Lonchura striata: one gene and its partners. The protein of the gene in region 4 purifies or fractionates together with the protein of the main gene of each other region. This does not show direct contact. Links are inferred from orthologs where the notes say so. Each region holds a gene or a part of one and is shown on either strand. Other genes may lie near its edges.

What was found.
Region 1: the proteins of TNS2 (region 4) and UTRN purify together in Homo sapiens (affinity purification with mass spectrometry; 4 studies listed by BioGRID and IntAct, with this or other methods). This does not show direct contact. The link is inferred for Lonchura striata from reciprocal best matches to the Homo sapiens genes TNS2 and UTRN.
Region 2: the proteins of TNS2 (region 4) and DTNB purify together in Homo sapiens (affinity purification with mass spectrometry; 3 studies listed by BioGRID and IntAct, with this or other methods). This does not show direct contact. The link is inferred for Lonchura striata from reciprocal best matches to the Homo sapiens genes TNS2 and DTNB.
Region 3: the proteins of TNS2 (region 4) and DMD purify together in Homo sapiens (affinity purification with mass spectrometry; 3 studies listed by BioGRID and IntAct, with this or other methods). This does not show direct contact. The link is inferred for Lonchura striata from reciprocal best matches to the Homo sapiens genes TNS2 and DMD.

What each region holds. Positions count from the first base shown.
Region 1 is NC_134605.1:49,976,121-49,983,793, forward strand, and holds the start of UTRN (utrophin), read right to left. Parts: upstream 3,002-7,673; 5' UTR 3,001-3,001; coding exon 2,907-3,000; intron 1-2,906.
Region 2 is NC_134605.1:113,406,426-113,413,381, reverse strand, and holds the start of DTNB (dystrobrevin beta), read right to left. Parts: upstream 3,018-6,956; 5' UTR 2,870-3,017; coding exon 2,778-2,869; intron 1-2,777.
Region 3 is NC_134604.1:107,466,166-107,473,917, forward strand, and holds the start of DMD (dystrophin), read right to left. Parts: upstream 3,025-7,752; 5' UTR 2,304-3,024; coding exon 2,207-2,303; intron 1-2,206. UniProt on the Homo sapiens protein: Anchors the extracellular matrix to the cytoskeleton via F-actin. Ligand for dystroglycan.
Region 4 is NC_134629.1:4,650,021-4,656,864, forward strand, and holds the start of TNS2 (tensin-2), read right to left. Parts: upstream 3,020-6,844; coding exon 2,954-3,019; intron 1,714-2,953; coding exon 1,602-1,713; intron 1,260-1,601; coding exon 1,222-1,259; intron 1,131-1,221; coding exon 1,092-1,130; intron 701-1,091; coding exon 605-700; intron 117-604; coding exon 73-116; intron 1-72. Other genes in the region: EIF4B (eukaryotic translation initiation factor 4B), read right to left, coding at 5,577-5,654, 6,194-6,248, 6,342-6,429, 6,720-6,787. UniProt on the Homo sapiens protein: Tyrosine-protein phosphatase which regulates cell motility, proliferation and muscle-response to insulin. Phosphatase activity is mediated by binding to phosphatidylinositol-3,4,5-triphosphate (PtdIns(3,4,5)P3) via the SH2 domain.

The DNA of each region.
Region 1 (7,673 bases), on a different chromosome or scaffold from region 4:
CTGCAATGACAGTGTGATTTCCATCTGGGTAATTAGGCAATTGAGGCAAAAAAAAAAGCCCCATTTTATTAAATAATCACATCAAATAGTGCCACAACAGTAAAGTGTGTATATGTCAACACAAAATAGCCCAATCATTTTCCTGCAATAGTTTCAGAAATTTTACTAGAAGAACACACATTATCTCCCTTAGTATAGAACAGCAATGAAGAAAGCCTTTTTGTTTGAACAGACAAAAGAAAGTACAAGATCCCTTCTTTTTTCTCCTCTTATATAAAGAGTAAGCTTTGGTTCCAGTAGCCTACCAATGCTACCACACTCCCAGTGCCTGTCACAAGCTAGAGAGTTTAAGAGGTTATTAAGAGAGAATAGACTGTTATAAAGATGGGCACCAGATGAGCTAAGTTATTTAGTATGTTTTAGGCCATAAATCAATCTTTGACAAAACTTAGTGTGCTCTCCAGGCTTCAGAGAACAGAAGTTAGTCTTATCCACTTTGGTTTCACCCAAACTAATTCATTTACTATCAGATACTTTATCAGGTATGAGCTTCAACCTCCTTTCCTCCAGTCCCTGCCAATTCCCACAGCAAGCACACAACCAAAAAAGCCAAAGCCACACCTCTGCTGACTGAAAAGTGTCCCTTTTTTTTGTATTCTAGATTTCTGTGAAAAGCAAAGGACATGAAGAAACAATTACATACACACCCCTTCCAACTTCTCCACCCCTTTTTTCCCTGAGTATTTCCAGTACTGCATCATTAAAAATCCTGTCCTCTCAGAAATGGCCTCTCCATCATAGTGCACACACACACCCCCACGACTTATTTTACCTTCAGGTTTTTTCCTCATTTTCCTTTCCACACCTCTTACCTTCTAGCTTTTTTCAGAGTTTTTCCCTCCTGTGTGCATTTCCAACACACTAAGAAGTGTCCAAAGCCACACCTCTCACAGACTCCAAATATAGAGTTTTTAAAAAAGTGAGATGACAATAAATGTGGGACTATGACTCTCTTGGAAAGCAAATCTACAGTGCTACACTTTATGAACAGTTACAAAGATTATAATTGAATAAATTTCCTGAAAAAAATCTTGCTGCTTGATTAAGAAAAACTATAACTGCAATTTACCGGCCATGATCTATGTTATTTTAAAAGAAGTGAGAGCTTAGCTCAGATTTAAACAGGCTTTAAGAAACAATCAGTAAACATTGTGCTCAATCATATAAAGCACCTGAGCAAGCATGTAGCTGCTATCACCTGGGAGGTTCACACCTTAGCCTAGCCACCTGGAGCAAGTGCCAGAGAAATCATCCATAGACACACAGACATTACCAAATATTAAGTGTGTGCACTTACATGTTAGAAAGATGTGAAGGATTGAGATATAAAACCGCAGAGAGATTGACCTTCCTATTATCCCACAGATGAACATTTCAGAGGTTTCACAACTGCAGTGCTCATCAGTTAACTATATGGCTGGTTATAACTCCTGTCCAAGTTTACGCTCTTCTAAAAATACAACAAAAAAAGAAGAAAGAAAAAAACCCCAAGAAATAGTCCAAAAAAACCTACACCAGTACACGCAAAGCCAGAACAAACAACTTCCATGAACAGCAGCTGAGGTTAAAAACGAAGCAGATTGATTTTCTCCTACTGCTAACCTTCCAAGAGTGATCAACTGCAGATGTCTCACATTTGAGGGCTGAATACGTGCAGATTTTGAAGAACACTACATCTCTCTAACCTATAATTTACTCAGCTCTCCAGAGTCAGTCAAAAGAAACTCCACTCACATTACTGAGTTTTCTTAACATTTTTGTCAGTTTCTTAAGGAAGTTTGGACTGAGCTACAAAGGAAAACTTTCTGCTCTCAGCTAAACTGGCATATATCCAAATCTACCTCATTGTTCTAGAAGCAAACATATGTGAAATCAGAGTCCCAGCCCATCATTTTATTCTAAATTTAGTCATTACATTGATACAACTTCAGAGGATTGTAGTTTCTCTTTCTAAAAACCTATCTTCAGATTCCAGCTTTGTAAAAAAACCCACATTAAAAGTCAAGTGGACCAAATTCTTTATTGATCAACAGGTTCTGCTTTCTCAAAGTTCTGACACCAATTCACAAAATTAACAGTTCTCATCTGTCAATTACTGTACCTACATAGCATATTCACAGGTACTACGAATAATCAAATTGTCATTTCCTTGCCAATCTGTGTTATTTGGCCCAGTCAAAAAACAGATGAGACAACCCATGAAATTTCAATCAGAATAGGTATGAAAGATGCCAAAACGAGGACAAAAGAGTAATATCCCAAGTTTATTCTTTTTCAAAGCATCCCTCCACAAAACATTCTTTCCAAATTACAGGAAATATGGCTCTTTTGAGATACTACTAAAATGAGAAGAAAAACTTGTGAGGTGCCAAGGACCTGCTCTAAGTTTACATTCAGAAGTACCAGAAGGCACACTAGGCAGAACTTTAAAGACTCAAAACAAGTAAATGCTGAAGTCACCAGAATTTAATGCATAGTTTAAGAAAATTAGGGACATTAAGACTTTCAAGCAGACAGAATGATGCTAAAATTTCTGCCATGAACAAGTCACTGTTGTAGGTGAAAGGGAAGCCCACAACACAAGCATTAATTACCAAGAGGATCTTGTGTCTGTAGGTGTGACGCAGCCAGAGCTCACACAACGCTTTCAATGGAGCAGCACCACAGAAAACAGCCTTTCCCCACTCTGTTTCCTGCCATGCCCTCCACGACCTGCTCTGTTAGAGTAAATAAACTTTTGCAAATTTAAAAAAAGCAGCTCTCATCAAATGTAGATGATAAAAGCAGACCCACATGCCTGGATCTTTTCATCTACCACAGCCTTCAGAACACAGGGAAGCACTCACCCAGCGGAGCATAACAGGTCTGCTGGTCAGTATGCCGAGGTGCAGCAACCTTGTACTTTTTCCATACAACTTTTTTGGCTGTTTGAACGCTCATGATCAAGCTCAGTTTTTGAATAACAGGAAAGTGAAGATGCAGAGGAAGTACACGCTAGTACCCACGCAAGAACTGCATGCTGGGATTCTAGGGGGAGGGAAGCACTGGTTTTCCTCTGAGGGTTTGACACATTCAGCCACACAGTGACTGACAAAACCAGTCAGGAAATAAACCTTTAAAAAGGCTGCACGTTAGCAAGTCACAGGCGTCCAGCTACTTGAGATTTCTTTTCTCTTTAAAATCAGATAAATATGCTGCTTTGCTACTCCTTATGAAAATAGGATGACACCAGCTTTCAGAGAACAGGCAAGTTAAATTCTACAAACTGAAAATAGGAAAGCTGATGGTAACTTTCCTTTTCTGTTCAAATCAAACTCTGGTCAAGCACCATACTCATTTTAAATATCCTAAATACTTTTAGCATTCATTCTGTAAAAAGTTTGCAGTATCATTATAACACTTTTTTCACACATTCAACAGAACATAAAACCAGAACAACTCTTCAAAGTAAGCATCCACATCTTTAAATGGCCTTTCAAAAAAGCACAAGAAAATTTAAACATAAGATTATAGCACATAAAGGAAGTTGTACAAGTAGAAAATTACAAACTCTGATTAGGCATGCCCTCTCCACTGTGCAGTAATTCCAAACAAGACAGAGCAAGGAACAGTAAAGCAAAAAGTTGGTAATGCAGGGCTATGATAAGATCTGAGTTATTTTCAAGTGGGTCTTTAAATTTTGCTTACCACCAGTACAAAAAGCAAATTGAATCCCTCTGTCTTCCAAAGCCTGTTGCCATCTCTATAACCAAATTAAGAAGAATCCAAATGCTGTAGTTATGCAAGACACTCCATATCCCACACTTTTGGATTCTGAACTGTACAGAATTCCAAAAGTCACAACAAAGTAATGCAAGAAGAGATTAGCTAGAACACGCAAGTACAGGCACTATAACCAGAGAAAAGAGTTCTAAACCATAGAATTGGTTTCAAAACCAGAAAGATAGAGGCTGTTTGATTTGTCTGCCTGTCTCATTGTATCATGCTATAAGACAAATGTTCTTGATACAGCTCTCCTCTCTTCATTGATATCCAGTCAGGACAGTATTACACCCCAGACACTATTCAGAGAAGGGAAGGAGGAAGAAATCAAGATTAGATCTTTCTTTAAATTTTTGTGGGCCAGAAGTTGGTCTTACTTAAATTTGTGGGTTGGATGTTTTTTCCCCGAATTCAAGAATTCCTCAAAGTTGAAGGCTGAAAGGCCTCACACAAAAGGAGTTTTGTTTCCATGAATAAAGACAACCATACATTCAGGGGGCTAAATCAGACATTTGTAGCCAAACATTTCTGTGAACCATGCTAACAAGACCAAAGTGGAAAGGCAATAAAAGTTTTAAAGTTAGAATTTCTATTTTAGAAACAAACAAGTATGTATTTTGTAAATACAAATACAAACCTTACTGTGCACCAAGCACTTCCCAAGCATAAAACAAAGATGCGACCATCTCCACCAAGGAAACGATGAGAATTAGCACACAGACCTGCACATATGCCAGAAGTCTTACCAACAGCACCACATGCTCCTTTTTTCAAGTTTTGAGATGAGAGTGGTCTGAATCCCCTAAGAATGCTCGCCTGTATATCCAATACCTTACCTCACCTTAGTCCCTGCTGCTCCAAGGCCCACCCACACTTGGCAAGACTGAAGAATAAGCACAAGTTTCACGAGTCAGCTAGTCTGTGACAACATTTCTGGGTTTACCAATTCTCAAAGGAGGAAGTGATTGCAGTCAGTGAGAGCAGTTAGAGAAACACCACTCTGATTCCACCGACCCCTTGAACTGCATTCAATGTGAAGGTATTAGCAAAGCTGAGTAAATCATTCATGCGCCAGAGCTTCCAGAGAAGCTCAGCCCTCAAGCTCTGCCTGCCACCAGCAGCTGCGCCATGAACATCAGAGAAAACACTTTTATCTAACAGCAGGTTTTACCTCAAAAATCCAACATTTCAACAAGAATATACACTGAGAATATTTATTAACTTAAGGTGGGGGGAGGGGGAGGTGGGGGGTTGTTACACTATGTTTAAATTAAAAAAAACAAACATCTCTTGCCTAAACAGAAATAGAATTACTAGCATGAAATAGTTTCATATCTGAACCCATGTGCAAATAAGTTACCTTTAGGATGGCAGGAATATTTTTAAGCTAAATTTTAAAAGTGAAACCATGGTCTCTATGAATATCTGCAGTATTGGGTGTGAAATCCATACATTAGCTGCAAGAGCAGATAAACAGAAGGGAAATAGAAATTTCTGGTCAAAGTAATCTTTGAAGGCTGCAAAGGAAGACTTTTTAAAAAATATTTTAACCTAACTCCAGAGCTCAATAGTATACTCTCTACCCATAAACTACTTCATTCATTACGAGGAAGATGGTCTTATTTCTACTACTACTGAATTCAACATTTATTTAGTAGCTCTCTGACTGGAGTACGTGCTCTCTTCTATTCTCTCTGGTGTTGACAGCAGTAATCAAATTTTGTACATGCCACTGGCCCTATTATAGTTCCAGAGCAGCTGGCTGGTTGCCTAGGCTTCTTATCATGTATGATAGAAAAGACCAGCTGAAACTACTGTGGGAAGACAGAAGTAGAGGGAAGCCTAACTAGAAGCCTAATAATTAGAAATCACGTCTTTTTATATTTGCCCATATATTACAAAGCATAAAGAACAATGCTACACTCAACACATGACAAGCTTGCTGTAATAGTTTACAGAAGGACTGGAACTCAGATGACAATTCAGCCCTTGTTGAAGAGTAGGTCTAAATTCCATACTTTATCTGTGAAGCACGACTTAACTATATCTTAGTTCACAGAGCAGGGAATGGAAAAGCAAAAAACCACCTAGAGTTGGGGGGAAAAGGGAAAAAACTCAGATAACTGTATTCATTCATTTAAAAGTGAGCTCATAAATACTTAAGTTCACTTTTCTATCACAGCCCCAGCATATACACAGTCAGCACAGGGTTCAGAGTAAAATTAAAGGTCACAGAGGCAAACAACAATGGGACCAGAGGGCAACATCCTTTAATTCTAAAACTCCCCTGTATGTAAGACAATCTATAATGAAATTGGTTTCCATTTCTTCTTTGCCTTCTGGGAGCCTTCCAAGAGCTTTGAATGCCTTGACTCTAAGAAGAGGAAAATGGCTTCTTTTTCACAGCCTGTCTCCTTCCAGCTGTGTTCCAAGTAGGCCTTGAGTAGCCCTGCTCTGAACTTCCACTTTTCCAAACTAGTCTATAGAGAAAGGCTTGGGTTCTTGGCAGAGGAAAAAACAAATCTAAGGGACTTCTTATGGGAGCAGAACAAGGAGGTACAGAGCTCCTCCTTCACCTTCCTTCTCCAAGGTGAGAGCCAAGCGTTTTCCTAGAGGGGAAGCTCAGCCTTTCTCAAGGTTCCTGTGTTACCTGGCTAGTTCTACCCTTTAAAATACTGCTATAATGAGCATCTGGTTAAGAGCTTCTCATGCTCTGGGATTACCACCCCATAATTTTGTTCAGGATGTTTTATTTCACCACAACAACCTGACAACTTTTTTAGCTGGCCTGCCGCACAATTTGAATTAGCAGGCCACACAATACTTGTTTCAGCAAGCAAACAAGAGCTTCAAAGGAGATGCTAAGAAGGATGGTGGAGGGGCAACAGAAACTTAAAACAGAAAGTAATGATTCAAATGCTTGTTGCATTTTGATGGAAACTAGTTATTAGCTTATCCCTTACTTCCAGGAAACCCACAACACCAGCAAATTCAAAATGAGAACAATGAGTTTTTAGCATTTCTATTGAAACCTTGTTTCACACAGCCAGGTTCATGTCAGCATAAAGCTTTCTACTGAAAAGAACATTATCAATACAGTAGATGCCCTCATTACTGTGGAAGAGGAACAGCGTGTGTGGTGGCTAGTGGAGCACTGCAGTACAGATAACAGAGAGATATTCTCTCAGTGCTCTCACAGGCAGCTCCAACACAAACCTTTCCAGCACACAGCGCTTCAGGCACTTGACACATGGGTCTCATAAAACTGCATGTCTTTGGCTGCCACAAATAACTGACTCATCCTGCAAAAGAAATAATAGTAGCAACTGTACATAAATTGTAATGCCTTTCAAGAATCACCATAATTTTGGTATTTTTTGATGTTCTTCTTACAGTTTCCCTTTTCCTTTTGTAAAAGGGAATATTTTGAATGTAAATACTAGGGAAATCTATGGAGGACATTAATCTTTGGAAAGTGTTGCTTACATTATGATCACACCTGTAAAATCCAGCCACATCCAAACAGTACTTGCTTTTTGCAAATCATCCCAGGCCACCTGTTTACAGCAACTCATAGGAGTGACTCATAGGAGGTCCACAGGAAAAGTAGGAGCCTTCTGCAGTTTGCTTGTCATTTAAAATGCTGAGCACATCTTCCAAAGCAAGGTTCCTGCCCATTCACAGGTACCTTTATAAACCAAATCCTAATGAATCTATGACAGATGCACTGTTCAACATTTGTGTGCTCATATGCTGGGATGTAACGTGCATTTCAGCTGAAGCCCAGGCACTGAGCCTTGAGTAACAGCATGCAAGTCCAAGCACAGGAGAGGAGCCATCACCTGATCTGC
Region 2 (6,956 bases), on a different chromosome or scaffold from region 4:
GCCCCGGCTGTGCCCCTCGGCTGTGCCCCGGCTGTGTCCCGGCTGTGCCCCGGCTGTGCCCCAGCTGTACCCTGGTTGTGCCGCGGCTGTGTCCCGGCAGTGCCCTGGCTGTGTCCTGGCTGTGCCCCAGCTGTACCCTGGCTGTGCCCCGGCTGTACCCTGGCTGTGCCCCGGCTGTACCCTGGCTGTACCCTGGCTGTACCCTGGCTGTACCCTGGCTGTACCCCGGCTGTGCCCTGGCTGTACCCTGGCTGTACCCCGGCTGTGCCCTGGCTGTGCCCCGGCTGTACCCTGGCTGTACCCCGGCTGTGCCCTGGCTGTGCCCCGGCTGTACCCTGGCTGTACCCTGGCTGTACCCCGGCTGTGCCCCCTGGCTCCCTGCAGGCGCTCCCGGGTTCAGGCCAATACTACAGGACCTTGCTTAGCAGGTTCCGCTCTTCTTGGAGCTCATCAGCTGTAGGTACAGCCCAAGGACAGCTCCAAGGACAGCTCCAAGGACAGCCCAAGGACAGCCCAAGGACAGCCCTGTGCTCAGGCAATCACCCCCGAGCTGCGGACGGGCTTGTTCTCACACCGGGGAGCACAGTCACACAGGATCAGTCACACACGGGATCCCAATCACACGGGATCAGAATCAGACATGGGATCCCAGAGTCACACACGGGATCCCAGAGTCACACACGGGATCACACAGTCACACACGGGATCACACAGTCACACACGGGATCACACAGTCACACAGGATCACAGAGTCACACAGGATCAGTCACACACGGGATCCCAGAGTCACACACGGGATCACACAGTCACACACGGGATCACAGAGTCACACAGGATCACAGAGTCACACAGGATCAGTCACACAAGGGATCACAGAGTCACACACGGGATGACTCAGTCACACAGGATCACACAGTCACACACGGGATCACACAGTCACACAGGATCAGTCACACACAGGATCCCAATCACACGGGATCAGAATCATACACGGGATCACACAGTCACACACAGGATCACACAGTCACACACGGGATCACAGAGTCACACAGGATCACAGAGTCACACAGGATCACAGAGTCACACAGGATCAGTCACACACGGGATCCCAATCACACGGGATCACAGAGTCACACACAGAGGATCACTCAGTCACACAGGATTACAGTCACACACAGAGGATCACTGTCACACACAGAGGATCACTCAGTCACACACGGGATCACACAGTCATGCGCGGGATCACTGTATCACACACAGTCACACCATCAGAATCACAGTCACACATAGGATCACAATCACACAGAATCACTGTCACAGTCAGAATCACTGAGTCACACACAGGATCACAATCACACAGAATCACTGTCACAGTCAGAATCACTGAGTCACACACAGGATCACAATCACAGAATCACTGAGTCACACACAGGATCACAATCACACAGAATCACTGGATCACACACAGGATCGGAGTCACACCGTCAGAATCAGAGTCACACCGTCAGAATCACAATCACAGAAATACAAACAATCACACAATCAGAATCTGTCACACACAATCAGACTCACAGTCACACACAATCAGGATCACTGAATCACACACAACCACACAATCAGGATCACGCACAGTGACACCAATCACAGAACCAGAGTCACTCAAAATCATACAATCAAAACCATTGAATCACACAAAATCACAGAGTCACACACAGTCACAGTCCCACACACAGTCACACACAATCACACACACAGTCACCAGGCTGGAAGAGACCTCCACGACCATCGAGTCCAACCCAGCCCCAACACCTCAACTGAACCCTGGCACACAGTGCCACATCCAGGCTTTGTTAAACACACCCAGGGATGGGGACTCCACCACCTCCCCAGTCCCTGGGAATTCCCAAAATTCCCAGAATTCACAGAATTACCAAGTTAAAAGAGACCTCCAAGACCATCGAGTCCAACCCGGCCCCAGCACCTCAACCCATCCCTGGCACCCAGTGCCACATCCAGGCTTTGTTAAACACACCCAGGGACGGGGACTCCCCCACCTCCCCGGGCTGCCATCCCAGAACTTTATCACCTTCCTGGGAAGAACTTTTCCCTAATATCCAGCCTGAATTCCCCTTGGAATTCCACAGCTTGAGGCTGTGACCTCTGGCTCTGTCAGTTCCTGGAGAAGGAGCCCAACCCCAGCTGAGCACAGCCACTTTCAGGAGCTGTAGTTTGGCTTTGCAGTTGTTTTGTTCCAAGTTCATTTTGTTTCATTCTGTACTTCCACCTTTAAGGAACACTCCAAAGGAGATTCTGACCTTTAGGGTTTGAGAACCACTTCCAAACATTGCTTCGTGCTGAGCCACAGCCTCATTGGCCAAAGCAGGAACACAGAAAGAAAAGTTCATTTACCAATTATTAAATCTGACTTGGTTCACATTCTTGGCGTTGCATGTCATTAGCAGAAATAATATTTGATGTCACTGATTAAATTGCAGTTGCTGCATGAAGATAAAATTGTGCCCATAGCTATTTATGGTCAGAAATAAGTTGTAATTAAAATAAATCCAAAAGCCAGTCTGGGGCATGGGCTGATCTGAGCTTGACACAGGGAAGGAGGTTCAGTGACTTTCTGCTGTTTTCCTGATCAGAAGGAACAACTATTCCTGCTGTTTCAAGGAAAAGCTTTCCTCCCTTGCCAGTGCATTCACTCTTAAAAATGTAACTTTAATAAATAACACAGCTGGGATGAAGATATTGAATAAAAAGGGAGGGCACACCTGTGCTGGCAGAAAAAGTTACTGGTGTCCATCTGCTTTGGCACTTCCTTGCTTTGGGCTTCTGAGCTCGTCTGACATTTCATTGAACCCATCTAAAATAATTTCTGAACTGTCATAAATGTTTTGTTAAAGTATAAAATTAAATTTACTTATGATATAAAGGTGCTTATATTTGTTCATCTCAGATTTCAATAAAAACATGAAGTATTTTTCCTTTTCTTTCCTAATTTAAAAAAGGACCCCACAATTACTGATTTAATCCCCTCCTCTCCCTCTGTCTATGCAAAATATCTGATGCTCTTACTCATTTCTTTGTTCTCCTGGTTCATATTCCCAATCCCTTTCCTCAGCAGTCAAACATAATAAATCTGAAATACTCTTTGTTTGTTCCCCTGTGCCTTTTCCCAGGAAGAGGAGTGACCTCAAAGTGATTTCAGGGGACCACATCTGACCCCTGGAAAAGACAAACCTTCCATTCAAGTAGACTACAACATCTTTTAAAGCACATTTTAACCACTTCTGACAGTTCTTCTCATTTACCTTTAACATTTTAGACACCAATTGTAGCATAAGTAACTGAAGCAAAAGCAGCTGTGCACAAAAGTATGAAAAGTACCCTAAAATGTTATTTCTGCATCTCCAGCAAGTACAGGAGCATCTCTGGGAGCCACCGTGCACCTTCCAGCAGCAGCTGCCCCAAAAGCCAAAAGTTTGGATTTCTCACTGATGTTTTCACATGTGCTGGACTCAGATGATTGTGCAAGATCTCTGCAAACCCAAACTGACTCCGGCCTCAGAGGGTGTAAGGAAAAACCCACATGGCCAGGAGCCAGGAAAGGGACTGTAACTTCCCAGTGATTACAGCTCTGCAGTGAAATTCTAAACAAGTCAATGGCTCCTTTTTTTATCCATAAATCCAGTGGATCCAAAGCTGCTCTGGAAGATTCTGCAAAAACCTGCCCAAAAAAATGCAGGAAGCTTCATTAAAAATGAACAGGCAACTCAGTAGCTCAGGAAAAAAGACAGTGCTGAATCCTAAAGCCTGCCCTCCTGCGTGCCTTGCCATTCCTGCTGGGACTGAGAGGTTTTTCCAAGGCACAAGAAGCCATCGGGTTTGTTCAGGCAGGACAAAGCTGGTGGCAGCACAACCCACTGAGCCCTCAGTGCCTCCAGTTACTGGGGTGGAAAATCACTGATGGACAGGGACATCCTGGCTGGAAAAACCTGGGCATGGAGGCACATCCTGGGCACGGGAACGGAGGGCACCAGCCTGGCTCAGCCCAGGGACAGCCCCAGGGGGGTGGGATGTGGATGGGCTGGGGGCAGGGAGCTCTGCAGAGGGACCAGGACAGCCTGGAGCCATGGGCTGGGTGCCAGGCTGAGGGACAGCCAGGCCAAGAGCTGGGTCCTGCACTGGGGTCACAGCAAGCCCATGGAACACCCCAGGATGGGAAGGGAACGGAGCCCCAGGAGGGGCTGGGGAGCTGGGAAGGGGCTGCAGAATTCCTGAGGGAGCTGGGAAGGGGCTGCAGAATTCCTGAGGGAGCTGGGAAGGGGCTGGAGAGTTCCTGAGGGAGCTGGGAAGGGAATGGAGAGTTCCTGAGGAGCTGGGAATGGGCTGGAGAGTTCCTGAGGGAGCTGGGAAGGGAATGGAGAGTTCCTGAGGAGCTGGGAAGGGAATGGAGAGTTCCTGAGGAGCTGGGAAGGGAATGGAGAGTTCCTGAGGAGCTGGGAAGGGGCTGGAGAGTTCCTGAGGAGCTGGGAAGGGGCTGGAGAGTTCCTGAGGAGCTGGGAAGGGGCTGGAGAGTTCCTGAGGAGCTGGGAAGGGGCTGGAGAGTTCCTGAGGGAGCTGGGAAGGGAATGGAGAGTTCCTGGGGGAGCTGGGAAGGGGCTGGAGAGTTCCTGAGGGAGCTGGGAAGGGAATGGAGAGTTCCTGAGGAGCTGGGAAGGGGCTGGAGAGTTCCTGAGGGAGCTGGGAAGGGAATGGAGAGTTCCTGAGGAGCTGGGAAGGGGCTGGAGAGTTCCTGAGGGAGCTGGGAAGGGGCTCAGCCTGGAGCAAAGGAGGCTCAGGGGGACCTTGTGGCTCTCACAGCTCCTGCCAGGAGGGGACAGCCAGGGGGGGATTTGGGATCTGTTCCCAGGGAACAGGGACAGGACAAGGGGAAATGGGCTCAGGCTGGGCCAGGGCAGGCTCAGGGTGGGCAGCAGCAGGAATTTCTGCCTGGAAAGGGAGCTCAGGCCTTGGCACTGCCCAGGGAGGTGGTGAAGTCTCATCCCTGGAGGTATCCAGGGAATTCCTGGATGTGGCACTCAGAGCTCAGGGCTGGGGACAAGGTGGGGATCACTCACAGGCTGGACTCACAACTGAAATCATTCTGTGATTCCAGAAAAAATCCCCTGCTCTAAGCCCCAGGGCAAGCCCAACAACCTCACCTGGTCAGAAACTGATAAAGGTTGTACTGGATTCAAGTTCAACAAAGATGGCATAAGTCACAATATTTAATCAGAGGTTTCTTTGAAAGCCTTCCAAAACTTTTAACACAGGTTCCCTCCAGACAAAACAGAACAAACTCAAATCCAGGAGAGTTCCAAAGCACCCGAGTTTCTGTGACTTCACATCAAGTCACAGAAACTCAGGTGGTTTGGAACTCCCAAAGTCCCAGCTGAGTGTCAGTAAGTGCTCCAGCACTGAGTTCCAGTGTCAGCTGAGCGCCCAGAGCAGAGAGAGGATCCCTGAGGAACTTGCAGGTCAGGCTAAGAACGGGGAGGTGGCAGTGGCACTGAGGTGCCAGCCCCGCTGCCAAGGTGCTGTTTGAAGCTCACTGCCCTCTGGATCCATTTTCACTCCCCAGGGAAGCACTCAGCCTGGCCCCAGGAGCCCTGCAGGCCAGCACGGAGTGTCTCAGCACAGATTTGGCACAGGCAGCTCTGTTCTCCAGCTCACACAGCCAGGGCGCAGAGCTGGCAGCACACTCAGTGCCACAACACCCAAACCAGAACCAAACCCTCATCTTCCTTCACTGTCCCACAGCCTCAGGAGTAGAAACGGCTTTTTACAACCTGCCTGTTGAAATTAATGTCTGCTATGGGATTTACCAGGAGCAAACAAGAGCAAATCCTGCAGCTGAAATTGTTTCCTTGAAATACAGCAGTGCTCCTGTCGGGTAAGAGAAAGGAAATACTGCAGGAGGATTTTTGAGCAGTAAGAAGTTGGACACAGACTAATTAAGAGCTTACCCCTCCCTCTCAGGAAGGGAAGACTTTTTGTGGAGGGGATTTCTGAGCACTCCGTGCTTCTAAGAGAAGCTGGCGAAGCCTCCCCTCTCCATCCCAGCCCACAGGCCCCAGCACTGCTTGCAGAGCACAGGAGAGAACTCTGCAGCTGCCTCTGAATGCAGTCTGCATTGCTGGGAAGGGCTCTGAGCTGCATTCCTGCCCTTTTCCCATCACCCCAGACTGGAGATGCAGCAGGAGCAGGTCCCACACAGCTGGCAGCTCAGGGCTCTCCCAGAGCTCCCTGGCACACCTGGGGAGGAGGGAAATTCCAGTGAGGAACACCTGGAAACAGCAACTGCTTTCCCCCAGCACAACTGACTTCAGGATAAAACAGCTTGCTCAGTTTTAATTCATTAATTTCACCTCCTACATTAACTTAGGGTGTGAAATCTTCCTCACCACCTTCACAGGTCTGAACTAAAATAATTCTAGGTTTGTGAAGTGTTAGATATTACCGAAAGGGTACAGGAGTACAGAACCATTAATCTGCATTTAAAAGTCTCTCTGCCACTGCCCCAGGCAATGGGAACTGAACACCTACACAGGGCTGATAACTTTAACTTTGTCTGAGCTGCCAGACACACAACACCTGCTTCAAGAGCCTGGCTGCACCCAAACTGCTCCAGCTGTGCTCACAAAGGGGCTTCCTTCCACAAGAACATAAGCCTGAAGTAAAAGTCCAGCTGATGACATTTGCCATTGCCTTCTGTAAAACTAAGGGGCTTTATCCCTTAGTTTTGTCGCTTTCTGTTTTAATAAATAAATAAAAATTTAAGTTAGGGCATCAGCTCCCTCCCTGCTTGCTTTATGCCAGGACACCCCTTTGCCCCCCACCTCTTAAATCACAGAATCACTGAGGCTCTCGTTCACCCAAGACCACTGAGTCCAACCTTTGACCTAAAT
Region 3 (7,752 bases), on a different chromosome or scaffold from region 4:
CAGGCCTGTATTACTGTAGATCTATTTATAATCAACAGCTGGCTCCACCTAGTGTCCTATTAATTCATCAGTGAAAGAGAAAGCTAAAACCAAATACTAGAGAGAAAACAGAAACAAACTAAAAAAATCTCTTGTCAGCTGGGTGATGGCCACAGACAGCATGAAGTTACAATTACTGGCATCACAGGGAAAAGAATATTTTAAGTAACTACTGCATGATGATTGCCAGCCAGCATTCTGGAGACGTGAAGAGACTAAGCAGATTCAGGAGTATAAAGATATAATATATGCAATATAAAACAGTTTTACTGCTACCCTGAAAAGGAGAATGAGACTTAAGCTGTTTATAGAGGTTTCTCTCTCTATGGTTTCACTGTGATCAACAATGAGAAAGTATTGTTAAATTTAATTGAACTTCGATGAAACAGAATAAAATTTTATTTTATTTTATTATCAGCAAAACTACAGAACTATTTCTGGTTATTCATACCCTACAGTGATCCTCTCTGTTAATGAGTACATCTCCCCTCCCAGCAGTTACAAAATAATTTAAAATGTCTCTTGTAAATGATCAAAACAGGGAAATGCACAAGAAGCTAAATAACACCAACCAGCTATTAGTTTTACTGATCCTTACATTCAAACTTTCCAAAGGCTGGTTCACTGCTATGTATCTAGAAACATCTATCTTTCTAAAACTGTTACAGTTTTACTCAGCAACATTTAGTCTTTAATAGCCTGATCCCTGTTGACAAGACAACACAGAGTACAGCCAATAAAGTAATTTAAGATAAAGTCAGAAAAGTGAATATCCAGTTTGACAAGAAATCTTTTGATTATCACCTGTGAAAAAAAATTTCTAATGAAGAAAATTCTAATGAAGAATGGAGTTTACATAGAAGAAAGCATTTTGTAAAGTAATCCAAGTAATTTAACATAATCATAACCTGTGAGCTATCAAGCAGTGTTTGAGTGGTTGTTGAACCTTTGAATAGGAAGAAAGAGAATACCTTACATTTACAAAGCACTACTTTCACCTCTCTAATCGAGGGCGATCCACTCTTGTAGAGCTGATGTCTGTTTTAAACCTGTTCCTATCACCTGTTCAGAGCTGCTCAGCCGGTTCACCCTAGTGGTGATAAAATATATTTCAATATGTACAATATGCACTTAATGACTGTTCACCGTGACAGACAGGGAGAATATATATGTTGTGAGGTGGACAAGAGGAAGGATCATGTAATAATACAATACCTACACCAAAGAAAACACCTGTAAATTTTCTCAAACTCTCTCAAAATATTCAGTTAAAAGTTATGGTTGTGACCCACCTAAAGTATTCACAGTTAAATTCAGTAATTATATGAAAACCTCACAGTGCAACACAGAACATGAATTTAATAAAATGCACACAGAAATGCTCTCTAATGTTTTAAAAATAAGAGAATACTCAAGATCTCAACAGTTAAGCAGTTACTGTCATTTCTCATTAACAGTTTTCAGAACCCTATCTGAAACAAGTTGATACAGAGAAATTAGGAACAGTAATCAAGCGAGAAATGACAGACCAGCTGGGTAGGCATCAAGTTGGCAAAACGTGAGTACAGTTCAATAGCTGAAACAGATGCTGGAGTTGTTGAGAAACCCTGCAGGAGATATTGATGTATTTTCTTTATATAATTCTGAACAACCGGATAAATGTCAAGAGCTAAAAACTGATGGGGAATAAAACCTGTCATAAAAACTAACTGTAAAGCAGAGACATGCAATAATATCCTTTTGTTATACCAGAGCATTTAGTACATGCATCTTCATTTCCTTGGAATTCCTCAATATACCAATATATCAATCAGAGCTTGCTAGTGAATCGGAGGGAGCTTTTCCCAGTCTTGTTTCACATTTGTTTGTTTCTATCTACCTGAGGCTTCAGAGACTTAGAAAATACTTTATTCTTCAGTCTCATCCTAACAGAACACTCTCTTTCAAGCAAGCAATTCCCCGAGCTTGCAGGCAAGCAGGAAAGAAAGAGTAACACGAGCATAAATGAAACTGCAAAATCCATTTTGCACGAGGAATTTTGTTTTCAGAGTTTCAAGACCTCAGCAACAAATCCTCTGTCATCAGTGACAGCTCATTCTAGCATATGCTTTGTCATGGTCAGTTTCTAATTACATTCATAATGATGCAATAGCTTTGATAATCCTACCTTCCATGCCAGCTGCTTTTCTTGTCACTCCATCATGCCAATAAGTTGGCTGCCGTAACAAATCAAGATAGTGCAAAACAGCATCTTTCCCCTGCATCTGTCATCTTCCTGAAAGCATTCTATTACTGCCGACTGCTGGGAACCAGAAAGTCTATTTGAATTCCAGCAGCTCCCCTTTCGCATGATTCAAGTTAGGTTAGGTGGGCATGCCTAACATGATTCTCTCCATCATTTATTATGCAGCTGCTACACCGTCGGTGTGGTAACCACTCTGACTTTATCTGATACGTCAGTCTTGCAAACCTCTACCTCCGTGCAAGCCCACGAGCCACAGAAGCATCTTGCATTTAATGAGCATTCTCCCTGCCTAAAGAGAGTGCATCTGTAAATCTGTTTCAAATCCTGCTGCTTGTATTGTCCTCTAAGGCTGATGCAAATGTTTGAAGGTTTTCCTTTTTTTTTTTATTCTTGCGTTTTTTTCTCTCTTCAGGAAGCTCTTCATGCACGCTCAAATTATTCAGCTTCAGCTAAACGTTTGCTGATTTGTGTCCAACCAAACAGCACCTTCCCGTTGAAACTCTCTGCTCGAAAGCTACTTCTGAATAACAGTGCTGTGCGTTCAGGCTCTCAACTCTGTTCATTTTGAACATGGCTTTTATAGCTACACCTCAACAAATGCATTTAGTTCTTTTCATGCAATGAATGGCTGTCTAATGAGGGAGCTGTACATATTTAAGCAATTTATCTAAGCCTATCTGTAGTGACACTTGCTTTTTGTTCTTTATACATTTTAACAGTAAGTAGATAGCTCTGTTACAGCATCTTGATATTCTTAAAGTGGTAAGAACACCACAATAAGCTGCTTTTTGCCAGCCTGTGGAGGACACTTTCAAATGACAGAGTTTGCTTAACTGTTTCTGAGTATCAGGAATTAAAGGGACAGGGTTGTTTTGTTGTCTTTCTATTTATATTTTCTGTTGAGTGGGGGAAAAACACGCTTGCGTCAGTGATTTCAAAAGAATATTAATAGAAATTGACATCTACACATCAATCATCCTCCAAGTCAAATTAGCTGTGTCTCCTCCCACCACTTCTGCCTGCAGTTCAGAGGCAAGGCATTTCATCTTTAATGTGTCTGGTTGCTCATAAGCTGAATAAACAACCCCAACCCCACAGTGGAAAGTTTGTGAGTGAAAGAAGGGACAATTCAATAGAGGCAACAGCCTGGCTTAAACCTGATAGTTGACTGAAGTAGTGAGGGGAGAGCAAGGACTGCCACTGGAGTAATACCTACATCCTTCCTCAGCCTTTGCACAATGGCAAATGAGGAGAGAGGAAGGGGAGAAAAGGCAGAGTCCCCCAGGAAAGCTTTCCCTTGTGGCAGCTGCCAGCTCAGCATCACTCACCAGTTCTTGTAGTCCTGGCTCAAAAGACTCATAGACTTAAGCCTCATTTCTTTACTCAGATTATATATGTTGAACTTTTCTGTGGTTTGCAATCCCTCCCCACCCTATGAGCCCCTTCCTCCCCCACAAGTTTCGAATCTCAGTTAAGTTCCACAAGGTCTTGGCTGTGAAAAATGAGCCTGAAAGCATGAGCTCAGGGGAGATCCAAGTCATAGACAGTAAATGGTGAGGGGGGGGCAGGCGGCTGGAGAAACAAAATAAAAACCAACCAAAGCAAAAAAAACCCTCCAAATAAACAAACAAACAAACAAAAACAACAAAAGAAACAAACAAAATCCAAACTAAATAACCTAAATCCCAAAAACAATCCAGGAAACAAGGTAAGAGGGTTTCCTATTTTGAAAAACAAATAGAAATAAAAATTCAGAACATCTGATATCCTCCTCTAGGACTCCCACAGGGCTGTTACCAGCGGGTACCCCTGGCACAGCACTCAGCAGAGACCCTGGGCTGAGGGGCAGGTTGCTGCTGGGTTGCAGAATGTGAAAAATCTCCCAGCCCTTCTGGGAGGGATCTGACTCCCTGCTCTCGCCCACATCCAAATGGCACAGCTGACACCTGAAGGAGCTAACATAGCATGGCGCCGTTTCTATATGTGATGCTGTATTTATTCCTAGCATGCTGCCAGAAAATGCCTTTTTAGAGATTTCATGTAAATAAAGTAGAATTACTACATCTGTTCCTCTGTCTGTAGCAGCACGTATCAACAAGCTAATTTTGCATTCAAGGCAACAGAGATAGTCCTACCATATAGTTGCAAAGTGCACAACTATAAAGCGCCCATCTGAAAATACTGTCAGCTCCTTTTGTTCACAGTTCAAGCCATTGCTGAAGTGAAACAAACCGGGCAATGAATGAGGACTAACTTTGAAGTCACCATCAATTCCAAGTAGATAAAAGGATATGCTTAATATTTCACACTTCTAGCTGCATTACGATTTCTAAATCATAGACACAGAAAGAAGGAATTTATATGGTATTTCACAACAGATGAGTTTGAGCACATATATCATATAGCTTGTATTTGCAGAGAATATCTAAAGTACCCAAAAACTCAACATAGGCTAAATTTCTAATTCAATAGATTTTGAGATGTGCAAGATTATAGATTAAAATATCAAGAAAAACATTTAATATGTTAGTAAGACATATAGTAATGAAAATTTAATGGGAGCATCTGGTGTGGCAAAATATATTTTACCAGACTCCTATCCCACGCAGATATCTTTGAATTACAAAAAGGAAGAGGGGGAAATAAAGGACTGATGAAGAGCATTTCCAGACAAATAAGCATGGCATTATGGGGAGGACCCACTGTGGTTCACCATTCAGTATTAGTGCCCTGCAACACAGCACACATACAGTGGATGGGATACAGTTCAGCCACACAGACGTTCCCAGACACATCAGGTCTATGGGGAGTAACTATTTTTGTTCTGGGGAAAAAAAAAACCAACAAATATTATTAATTATCTCTTTTGGAGGAGAAGGAAACTGAAATACACCAATGTTTGTATCTTTTGTGCACACTAACTGTATAGAAAAACAGCCCAGAGATAAATGGAGAATCTGGGAGGGGAAACCAGTATCAGTCATTCTGTCCACATACTAACAGGCCAGATTAATAGCTGGCTTTTTTCTCTAGCTTTTTCTGCATTTTTCTGCAAAAACAACAGCCGTGGTTTCTGCATATTGTAAGTGGATTCAGCATCTGCATAGATATAATTATAGCAACCCACCCATATGGAATGAATTGCTTTAGAGAGAAAGCTCCATGGGTTGCACTCCCAGAATCTACAATAATACAAATACATAATTTTTTGTCTTATACAGAACCATTTGGAATAAGCAGAAATAAATGACAAGTGGAAAAACACTCATCAAGTGGCATTTTGCTTTCTACGGTACTGAAAACTCAGTAGGCAAAGAAACTCCAGCCTATTTGGGTGACAAGTCTCTTCCTATCCATCTACAGCTTATGGCAATGACATATCTATTTGTTTTAATTGTTTCACTGCTACTAGAGGGACTGATTGGTGCATTCAGGGTGCTTGATTTCTATTGTGGTGGTGTGTGCATATGACAGTGACAACTCAGGTATCTGTAGAGCCTCTTCTTGAAGCCATTTTTTTGTTTGTTTGTTTTTGTTTTTCCTCTTTGGAAGCACCAGTGACTCTGACCAAGCAAGAGCAAATAATGGATCACTGAAAAACAGGAAGCAAGCACATTGGCCTTGACCTTCAGCTCTACATGACGCTCTACATAATGAACTCTCTCCAGTATGCAGAAATGAATGCTGATCTTGCTTAGCAAATATTGTTCATTTGTTTTGCTAATATATCTCCTGAAGAAAGTCACTTTCTCTTCCCTTTTTCCCTGCCTCCCATTTTACTTAGATACTTCATGCCTCTCCCAGTGAACAACTAATTCAATCGATCAATCATGCAAGAAAATACGTTAATGATATACTGTGCATGTTTAGATTAATAAACGCCTCAAATAAAAGCACTGGGAAGTTTGTTTGGATAACACAGACAGGAATTATTATTTCTTACTGTTAATCATTCTATATTAGCTACTTTTCAATTATAGGATTTCTGATGTACAAGAGTAATCTGTGCATAAACAGTCACTTTCCAATATAGTTAGACAAATCAGTACTTTCATTTTTATGGCAGTATTTCAATCATTTGGAGAGGATAAGTTCGGACAATTTCAGCAAATGTGGCTTTGACTGCTCAAGATTTAAAAAAAAAATTACTACAGACAAGTGTATGAAAAACTGAAAATTAAAAATGCATAAAAGTCATGTCTCTATAAACCAAAAGGCCAGTGCCATCATCCTCTCCACATGGATGTTTACAAGCCCTTTCCAATGGAAAGGTTCAGAGGCCTCATCATCCAAACAGGACCATGGTGTTGGCCAAAGAGAAGTTTGATATGTGTATGTCCCAAGTCATCCAGCTAGGAACCTGACAGACATCCCAGGAGCTGAAACTTTCAGGGATTTAAAAATTTTTGCTCCCCTGCACCATAGTTTATCCAGTTATTTTTGTGCAGAATTCACCTTTGTTTTTTGAACTGAATCTTAGGTATATGAAATTCAGCTATGTTCAGGCATTTGTCATAAGATGAAAGCTCAAAGCACACTGATCTCAAAATGTGTTAGGAGGATTCATGACCAACCTTTTGAAATAAGATTGACCATGTTTATTGTAAATTTTTTTTTCAAAATTTTATTACAGATGTACTTACAGCAATAATAAGCAGTGATTTCTTCAGCAAGAACAGGATTTCATACTACAGGACATTAAAAAGTTATTCACAAAAAATGCTACAGAAACAGTTTTCTGAGATGCAGAGCACGGCATACTCAAAAGTGGATACTCTACATTAATTCTGAATATTGCTGTGTGATATAGTCATCTGAACACTGCTTCAAATGTGGATAATATAATCTCTCACATGCAGTAACTACGGAGGATTTTTAATGTCAACCTCTGCTTACGTCTACAGATAAGCCAACATACAGTCTACATTTGGTTCTCACATAGCATATGTATTTCAGTGACACTGAATTTAAAACAGTAGGTTCTAGCAAGAAAGAATAAATCTGGTTAACTCATTCTCCAAATATTTAGCACACATCAGGAAGCAGAAACATACAGTTTCCCTATTTAACACTCAGAGAATTAGTGACTTTGAACTCTTCATCAAGTGCTGCTAATCTTCCACTTTAAGGAAGACTTGTATGTTCTGTTAGCACAAAACTGAGCAGTGACATGAAGTTCATGCTAATTACATAAACATGTACTTTGTTCTCTTACAGCTCATCTTAAATCAGACTGATGTGAGCTACCCAGCTTTAACCTCCTGCCATTCATACCTTGACTTCTCCAGAAAAAATGCATAGTTCAGCAGTACTGAGCTTGAAATAATTACTGACTTAAGCACCTTAATTTGTTCATTCTTTCTACAGTTGTAGTCCATGTACAAAATGACATATAACAGATGTACCAGCAATTTTAAAAAAAATGCCAAAATTAATTAAAAACAAAACCAAACCACCCAGATCTAGCA
Region 4 (6,844 bases):
CAACCCTCCCCGGGCTCCCCCAGCACCCCAAAACCTCCAAATTCCCCCCTCAGCACCCCCAAACTCCCGTACCTGGGCAGGGTGCTCCGCTGGGGGGCGCTGTCGAGCGAGGAGCCCTGGAGGGTCCCGGAGGAGCCCCAAAAACGAGGGGGGGCAAAAGGGGGTCGTGGGGCACCCAAAACATGGGGGAGCTAAGGGCTGTCCCCAAACACGGGGGCGGAGAAGGGGCCAAGGCAGGCGGGGTCAGGGGGGGTCCCCAAAACTGGGAGAGGTCGAGGGAGTCAAGGGAGGGGCGGGGGCAGTTGGGAGGTCCCCGGAACACCCGCGTGGGGTCAAGGGGAGGGGCAGGGAAGTGCCCAAAACATGAGGGGGGTCGGGAGGGGGTCTGGGGGGTTCATAAGGGGTCAGGGACGGGTGGGGGGGGGCAAGGGGGGGTGTCAGAGGGGTCCCCAAAACACCGCAGAGTCATGAGGATGTCGGGAGGGGGAATCGGGGGGTCTCCAAATCCTGGGGAGGATCAGGGGGGTTTTGGGAGTCCCGGGGGGGAGGTTTAGGGGGGTCCTGGGAGGGGGGTTGGGGATTCCCGGGGGAGGTTAGGGATCACGGGGAGGGGTGGGGTGTCAGTGAGTCGAGGGGGTTTTGGGGGTTTCGGGGGTCTCACCACGCGCTCGCTGCGCCGCACCGGAGCCGTGTTCCGCCTCTGGAAGGACACGGCGGGGTCTGAGGGGGGGCCCGACCACCGGGGATGGGGCCTGCCCGGCGGGGTTTGGAGTCCCGAGGGGGATTTGCGGGGTTCAGGGTCCAGGGAGAATATCGGGGGTACCGGATCCTGACATGGGTGTTTAGGGGTCCCGAGGGGGGGGTCCCGTCTCCTGCTCGGGGCGGGCTTGGGATGGTTTCAGCCCTTCCGTGGGGTCCCTGATCCTGCCCGGGGAGTTTGGGGGTCCCGAGGGGAGCTCAGAGGGTCCTGCCCGGGGGTGCCTCGGGAGTTCGGGTCATGCCCGAGGGGTTTGGGGGTCTCGAGGGGGATTTGAGGGGTCTCGGGTCCTGCCCGGCGGCTCTGGGGAGGTCGCGCCCCCCCCCCCACTCACCAGCTCCGGTGGGGGCAGAGGTTGGCACGGTGACGTCACCTGGAGGAGGACACGGGGATCATCCCAAATGGACCCCAGCCCCAAATGGGCCCCCCCCGCCCTTGGGTGACGTCCCCGCCCCACGTCGTACCTTGCTCTCACATCTCTTGTGCGCGGCGACTTTGCAAACTGGGAGGGACAACGGCGACATCAGAAACCCCCAGGGTCCCCTCAGGGTTTCCCCAGCGTCCCCCCAGGGCCCCAAATACACCCCCATACCCTCCCGCTGCCCCCAACAACCTCCCAGTATTCCCAGTAACCGCTCACTGCCTCCAGTGACCAATTCAGTGACCCCGGTAACCGCCCAAGTAACCCCCCAATGCTCCCAGTGACTTCCCAGTGCCCTCCCAGCGCCCCCAGTACCTCCACTGGCCCCAGTAACCTCCCAGTCCCAACCCCACTGTCCCCAGTACCCCCTCCCCACCCCATCCAGCCCCTCCCTATGTCCCGGGACTGTCCCGGGGGTGTCACCTCTGCACACGAGCCCGTGGGGTCCCAGGGGGGTCCCGCAGCCCCCACAGGGCGCCCCCCGGCGCAGGCTCCGCTCGCGGAACGCGTGGGGGGCGGCTGGGGACGGCCTCGGCTGGGGAGACACGGGGCGGTCACCGCCTGTCCCCTCCATGTCCTCCCCGATGTCACCTCTCGTTTCCCCTCCATGTCCCCTCGTGTCACCCTCTGTGTTTCTTTTGTGAACCCCCCCCTGGCCTCCCCGGGTCCCCTCAGTGACCCCCCTGTGTACCGGCCCCAGTCCCACCCAGTTCTCATCGCGTCACCTCCGTGTCCCCTCATGTCACCCCCCTGTATACAGCAGTCCTCCTCTGGTCCCCTCATGCGTCCTCAGGTGTCAGTCGGTGTCACCCGTGTCCCTCCTTGTGTCCCTCCATGTTCCCTCCATGACTTCTCACTGACCGCGTCTCCTCCGTGTCACCCGTGTCCCTCCATGACGCCACGCGTGTCCCCGCATGTGTCCCTATCATGTCCCCCTCTTGTCACCCGCAGTATTCCCCTGTGTCCCCCTCCCCGTCCTCCCCTGTGTCCCCTGTATCCCCTCTCGGATCCCACTCCTGTCCCCCCCATGTCGTCCCTGCGTCACCTCCGTGCTCTCCCATGGCACCGCTGTGTCCTACATGTCACTCCCCGTGCCACCCCCGTGTCCCCCAAGTAACTCCCCCACGTCCCCCGTGTCCCCTCGTCTCTCCCCGCTTGTCCCTCCCGTAACTCCTCGTCGCTCCCGTGTCAGCCCCACTCCCACTTGTGCCTCCCCGTGTCCCCCACCTCGTGTCGTCCCGCGTGTCCCCCCCGTGTCCCCCCCGGCCCCTCTGGCCTCCGGCCACGGACATCGAGTCCCGCAGGAAGCGGGCAGGGACAAGCCCGGGAAGTGGCGACCCCTGGGACGACCCCGCCGTTCCCACGGAGGGGGAGGGGCGTGGGAGTCTGTGCGGGGGGAGGGGGCACGGTGGGGGACGCGGGAAAAACGGGGAAAAGTGGGAAAATGGGGGAAAAGGGGAAAGTGGAGGCGAGGGGTGAGCATGAGAAAACATGGGGAGGGGCGGCGAGGGGGGGGAGGAGGGTCAGACTCGACTTCCCCCCCCCGGTCACCCAGCGTCACGCGTGGGTAGGGGGCGGCTGGAGCGGACAGCGGGGGAACCCCGCGGGGGCGCCACGGGGGGGTTCCCCCGCTTTTGCCCCCGCACCCAGCCCTCGCTTCCCCACGGGGGGTCCCCACCCTACGCGGGACCCCCATGAAGCGGTACGCGGAATAAACAGACTCCCCCAAAACCTCCGTTTCACCCACCCTCACCGGGACCTTGCCCCGGTCCTACCGTGTCGGGGCCATCGCGGCGGCCAAGCGCGCGCAGAAGCGTTCCCACGGCCCCGGGGGGCTTCATGGGGGGGCTCCGCGGGGACCTCGGGGGGTCCCAGGCGCTCCCGGGGGGCGTCTCGGGGCTGCCCGTGGGTGCCGCGAGCGGCTCCGTGGCCGAAGGCGCGCGGGGAGGGGCCGTTTCCGCGAGCCCGGAGCCGCTTCCCGTGCCGGGGGGGGACACGGACACGGGGGGGACACGGGCGGGACGACACGGGAGCGACACGTCTGGCCACGGGGAGGGGACACCAGGAGGGACATACGGGAGACAAGGAGGCGACACGGGGGACACGGAGAAGACACACGGGGCGGACACGGAGGGGACACGGCACGGGACACCGGGAGGATCACAGGGGAGACAAGGAGAGGGACACACGGGGGACACACGGAATGACACCGCCCCCTGCCGACCATGCCTCAGTTTCCCCGTCTCATTTCCAGGATCCCCCAAAATTCCTCCCGAGTCCCCCGACGGTTTCCTGGAGCTGCCCCCGCCCCCTCTTCATCCTCCTCCTCCCACCGCCCCCTCGCTAACCCGCGCCGCGGCCCCCCAGGACCCCCAAACTCGGGGAAAAAGGGGGGGTTGGACCCACCCCATGGGGTCCCCCAAAATCAAGGAGAAGGGGGAAGCTGAGACCCCCCCGCCACGAGACCTGCAGATTCATTGGGAAAGGGGATCCTCAGCCCATGGTACCCCCAAACTCGGGGCGGGGATGTTGGTTTGGAGGGGCTCGAGGGACCCCACACAATCCCGGGATGGGGTCCCCAGGGAGTGCAGGGACCCCAAACTCCTCCCTTGTGAGACTCCTGGGGGGGAAGCTCGTTTCAAGGGGAAGAATTGGGGTAGAGGGGGTTTTGGGGGGCGTTGGGGTGGGGGTTATTGAAGTTTTGGGTTGCAGGGGAGGAATCAGGGTGCAAGGAGGGTTTTGGGGTGCAGGGCTGGTTTGGGGTGTGGGTTATTGTGCAGGGGGGGTTGCGGTGCAGGGAGAGAATTTGGGTTCAGCAGGGGAATTGGGGAAGAGGTTTTTGGGGTGCAGGGAGAGGATTTGGGTTTGAGGGACTTGAGGTGTGTAGAGGGGATTGAGGGGCCTGATAGGTCCCCTCCCGGTTGGGGTTGTCAGGGTCCCCTTCTCCCGGCCCTTGGGGTCCTCCCCCCTCACCCTGGCCAGGACAGACCCCCCTTTGTGGGGCCGGAGCCGCCCCGGGGGGGGCCGCATTCCAGCGGTGGGGGAGGCGGGTTCCAGCATTCCAGCGGTTGGGAAGAGCCGGGAAAGAGGAAGGGCGGGGGGTAGGGGGTGGGATCCCGGGGCTCGGTGATGTGCCTGCATCCCCAATTAATTACCCCAAATTAATTACCGTTAATCAGCGGAGGGTGGAGGAAGAGTAAGAATGGAAGGATGCAGAGAAGAATCAGAATGAAGGTGAAGGAAAAATTAAAAAGGAGGAGGAAGAGGATGAAGAAATAGGGATGAGGAGGAAGAAGATGGAAGGAGGAAGGAGAAGGAACAATGAGAGGAAGGACAGAGAAGAAGAAAAAAGGAGAGGAAGAAAATGAGGTGGAAAAAGGAAGGAGAAGGGGAAGCAGGAGATGCAATGATAGAGGAGGAGGAAGTGAAGAAGTGAGGAAGTGGAAGAGGAAGAGGAGAAAGAGCAAGAGGATGGAAGGAAGGAGGAACATGAAGAAGGAGGAAAGGCAGTAAGAAAGGAATGAAGGATGAGGAAGGAGAAAAGATGGAATGAAGAAGGGATGCAAGAAAGAAAAAGGAAGCCCAGAGAGAGGAAGGCCAATGTCGGGACAGGAAATTCCCCCTGGAGGGCTTTGGGAACTGCCCTGTTCCCCTTCAAGGTGAAGAGGAGAAGGGCAGAAAGATCTGGGGCCTTTCTGGATCTTTTTCAGCTCATTTTATTGGAGAAAACAAAACAGCCCCCAACCTGGGGGAGAACCCCAAAACGCCCCCCTGGGGACCCCAAAACTCCCCCAGGACCTCCCAAAACCTCTGGGAAGGTTCTTTTTACACAATTTTACAGCCCACCCCAAATCCCAAAATCTCGGAGTATCTTGAGGTTCTGGGGTGGAAATTCAGGTTTTCCTGTGTAAAGGGTGGGATTTGCATCCCAAAAATTGGGTGGGGGAATTGGAGGGGCACCTGTGAGCAGGAGGATGATGAAGGTGCCCAGGGGGAAATCAACATTCCAGAGGTGAGGAAAAAGGGGGGCAGAGGGGGATCCCAGACCCCGGAGGATTTGGGGGGGATTGGTTGCCTCCCTATCCCTGTTTTGGAGGGGCTCCAGTGAGGATGAAGGCCAGCTCTTCCTCACCCCTTATTCCATGGAAAACAAGGAGGGAGGAGCTGCTTTTCTTTCAAGAAAACTCTTGGAATTACCCCTCCCGCTCCCTGTGCTGATTTTGGGGTGATTCCCGTGCGTTCTGTGTGGGGTTGTTTTCAGGATTTAAGAAGCTGTAGCTGAGGGAATTGATGAGTTTTAGGCTTTATTTCTGTCTCGCCTGGATCAAGGTTGGGATTTTTGGGAATCTCCAGAGGTTCCTGCAGCAGCTGAGGAGGAGGAAGAGGGGGAGGAAGTTTCTACTCAGCTCCTTCTTCATCATCACCTTCATCCTCCCCATCCATAGAGAGCGCGGCGTATTTGCTGGCATGGCTGAACTGCGGGGAAAACCAGGAAAAATTCCCAAAAATGGGAATTGAGGGGGATAAATATCCTCAGGAGCTCACACATCCCAAAACCAGGGGGTCACAGCCCCTCAGAAAGGGTCAGAGAAATCCCAAAATTGCCAGGGTGTTTGAGCTGGGAGGGCCAGGGGGGTGTCACTGTTGAAAAAAAACAACTCCCAAAGCTCCCAAAAAAACAAGATTTGAAGGGGATGAAAACCCCCAGGGGGTCATGCACGCCAAAAAGAGGGGTTCACAGCCCTCCCCCAGGGAGTTTCAGACTGTTCAAGGCTGAACTGTGAAGGTGGGCAGAGGGAGAGGGGCAGTGAAGCAGAAAATTCCCAAAATACCCCAAAAAATGAGATTTGAGGGGTTGAAGTCCCCTGGGGGTTCACTCACCCCGAACAGGAGTTACAGCCCTCCCTGTTAACTGGAGGCATAGGGCATCAGTTATGGTGAAAATTCCCCAAAACCCCCCAAACCCGGGATTTGAGGGGGGTCCCTCCCCTGTTCTGGGTGCCCCAGATCCTTACGGAGGGGGGGGTCTCCTCCAGTTTCTTTGGCTCGTGCTCCTTCCGGGGGTCCCTCCTGAGGAACAGAGGTCAGAGGTCAATGCCCGGGGAAATTCCCGGTGCCCGGGGGGGTTTCCCGGCTCCGGAGGGGGCTCTGGGAGGGTCTCACCTCTCAGGGTCCCCCATTCCCGTGGGGCCGCGGCTGCAGCTCCGGCCCTTGGAGCTGCTCTCCCGACCCCCCTCCGGCTTCAGCTCCTCTGCAGGGAAAGGGTCGGGGGGTTACAGCCCCAAAACCCCCTGAACCCCCCAGCAAGGCCTCAACATCCCTGGAACCCCCTGAACCCCTTTAAACTCCCCCACAAAACTCCTCAACCCTCCCAGATCCCCTGATACCAACCTCCCCCTGAGCCCCCTGGAAAGCCCTGAGCTCCTCCAAAATTCCCCAAACACCCCATTAACACCCTCTGAGCCCCACAAGTGCTCCCAAGACTTCCCAAATCCCCAAAACCCACCCCAAGCTTTCCCAGTCCCTTCCTCCTAGTCTTACCTCTCCTCTGGGGGGTCCTGGGGGGGCCCCCATCATCTCCAGGGGGGGAGGGGCCAGGGGAGCCCCCACTGGGGAGAGAGAAAATGGGGGGAAAGGGCATCAGGAGGGTCCCTGGAATGGCCCCA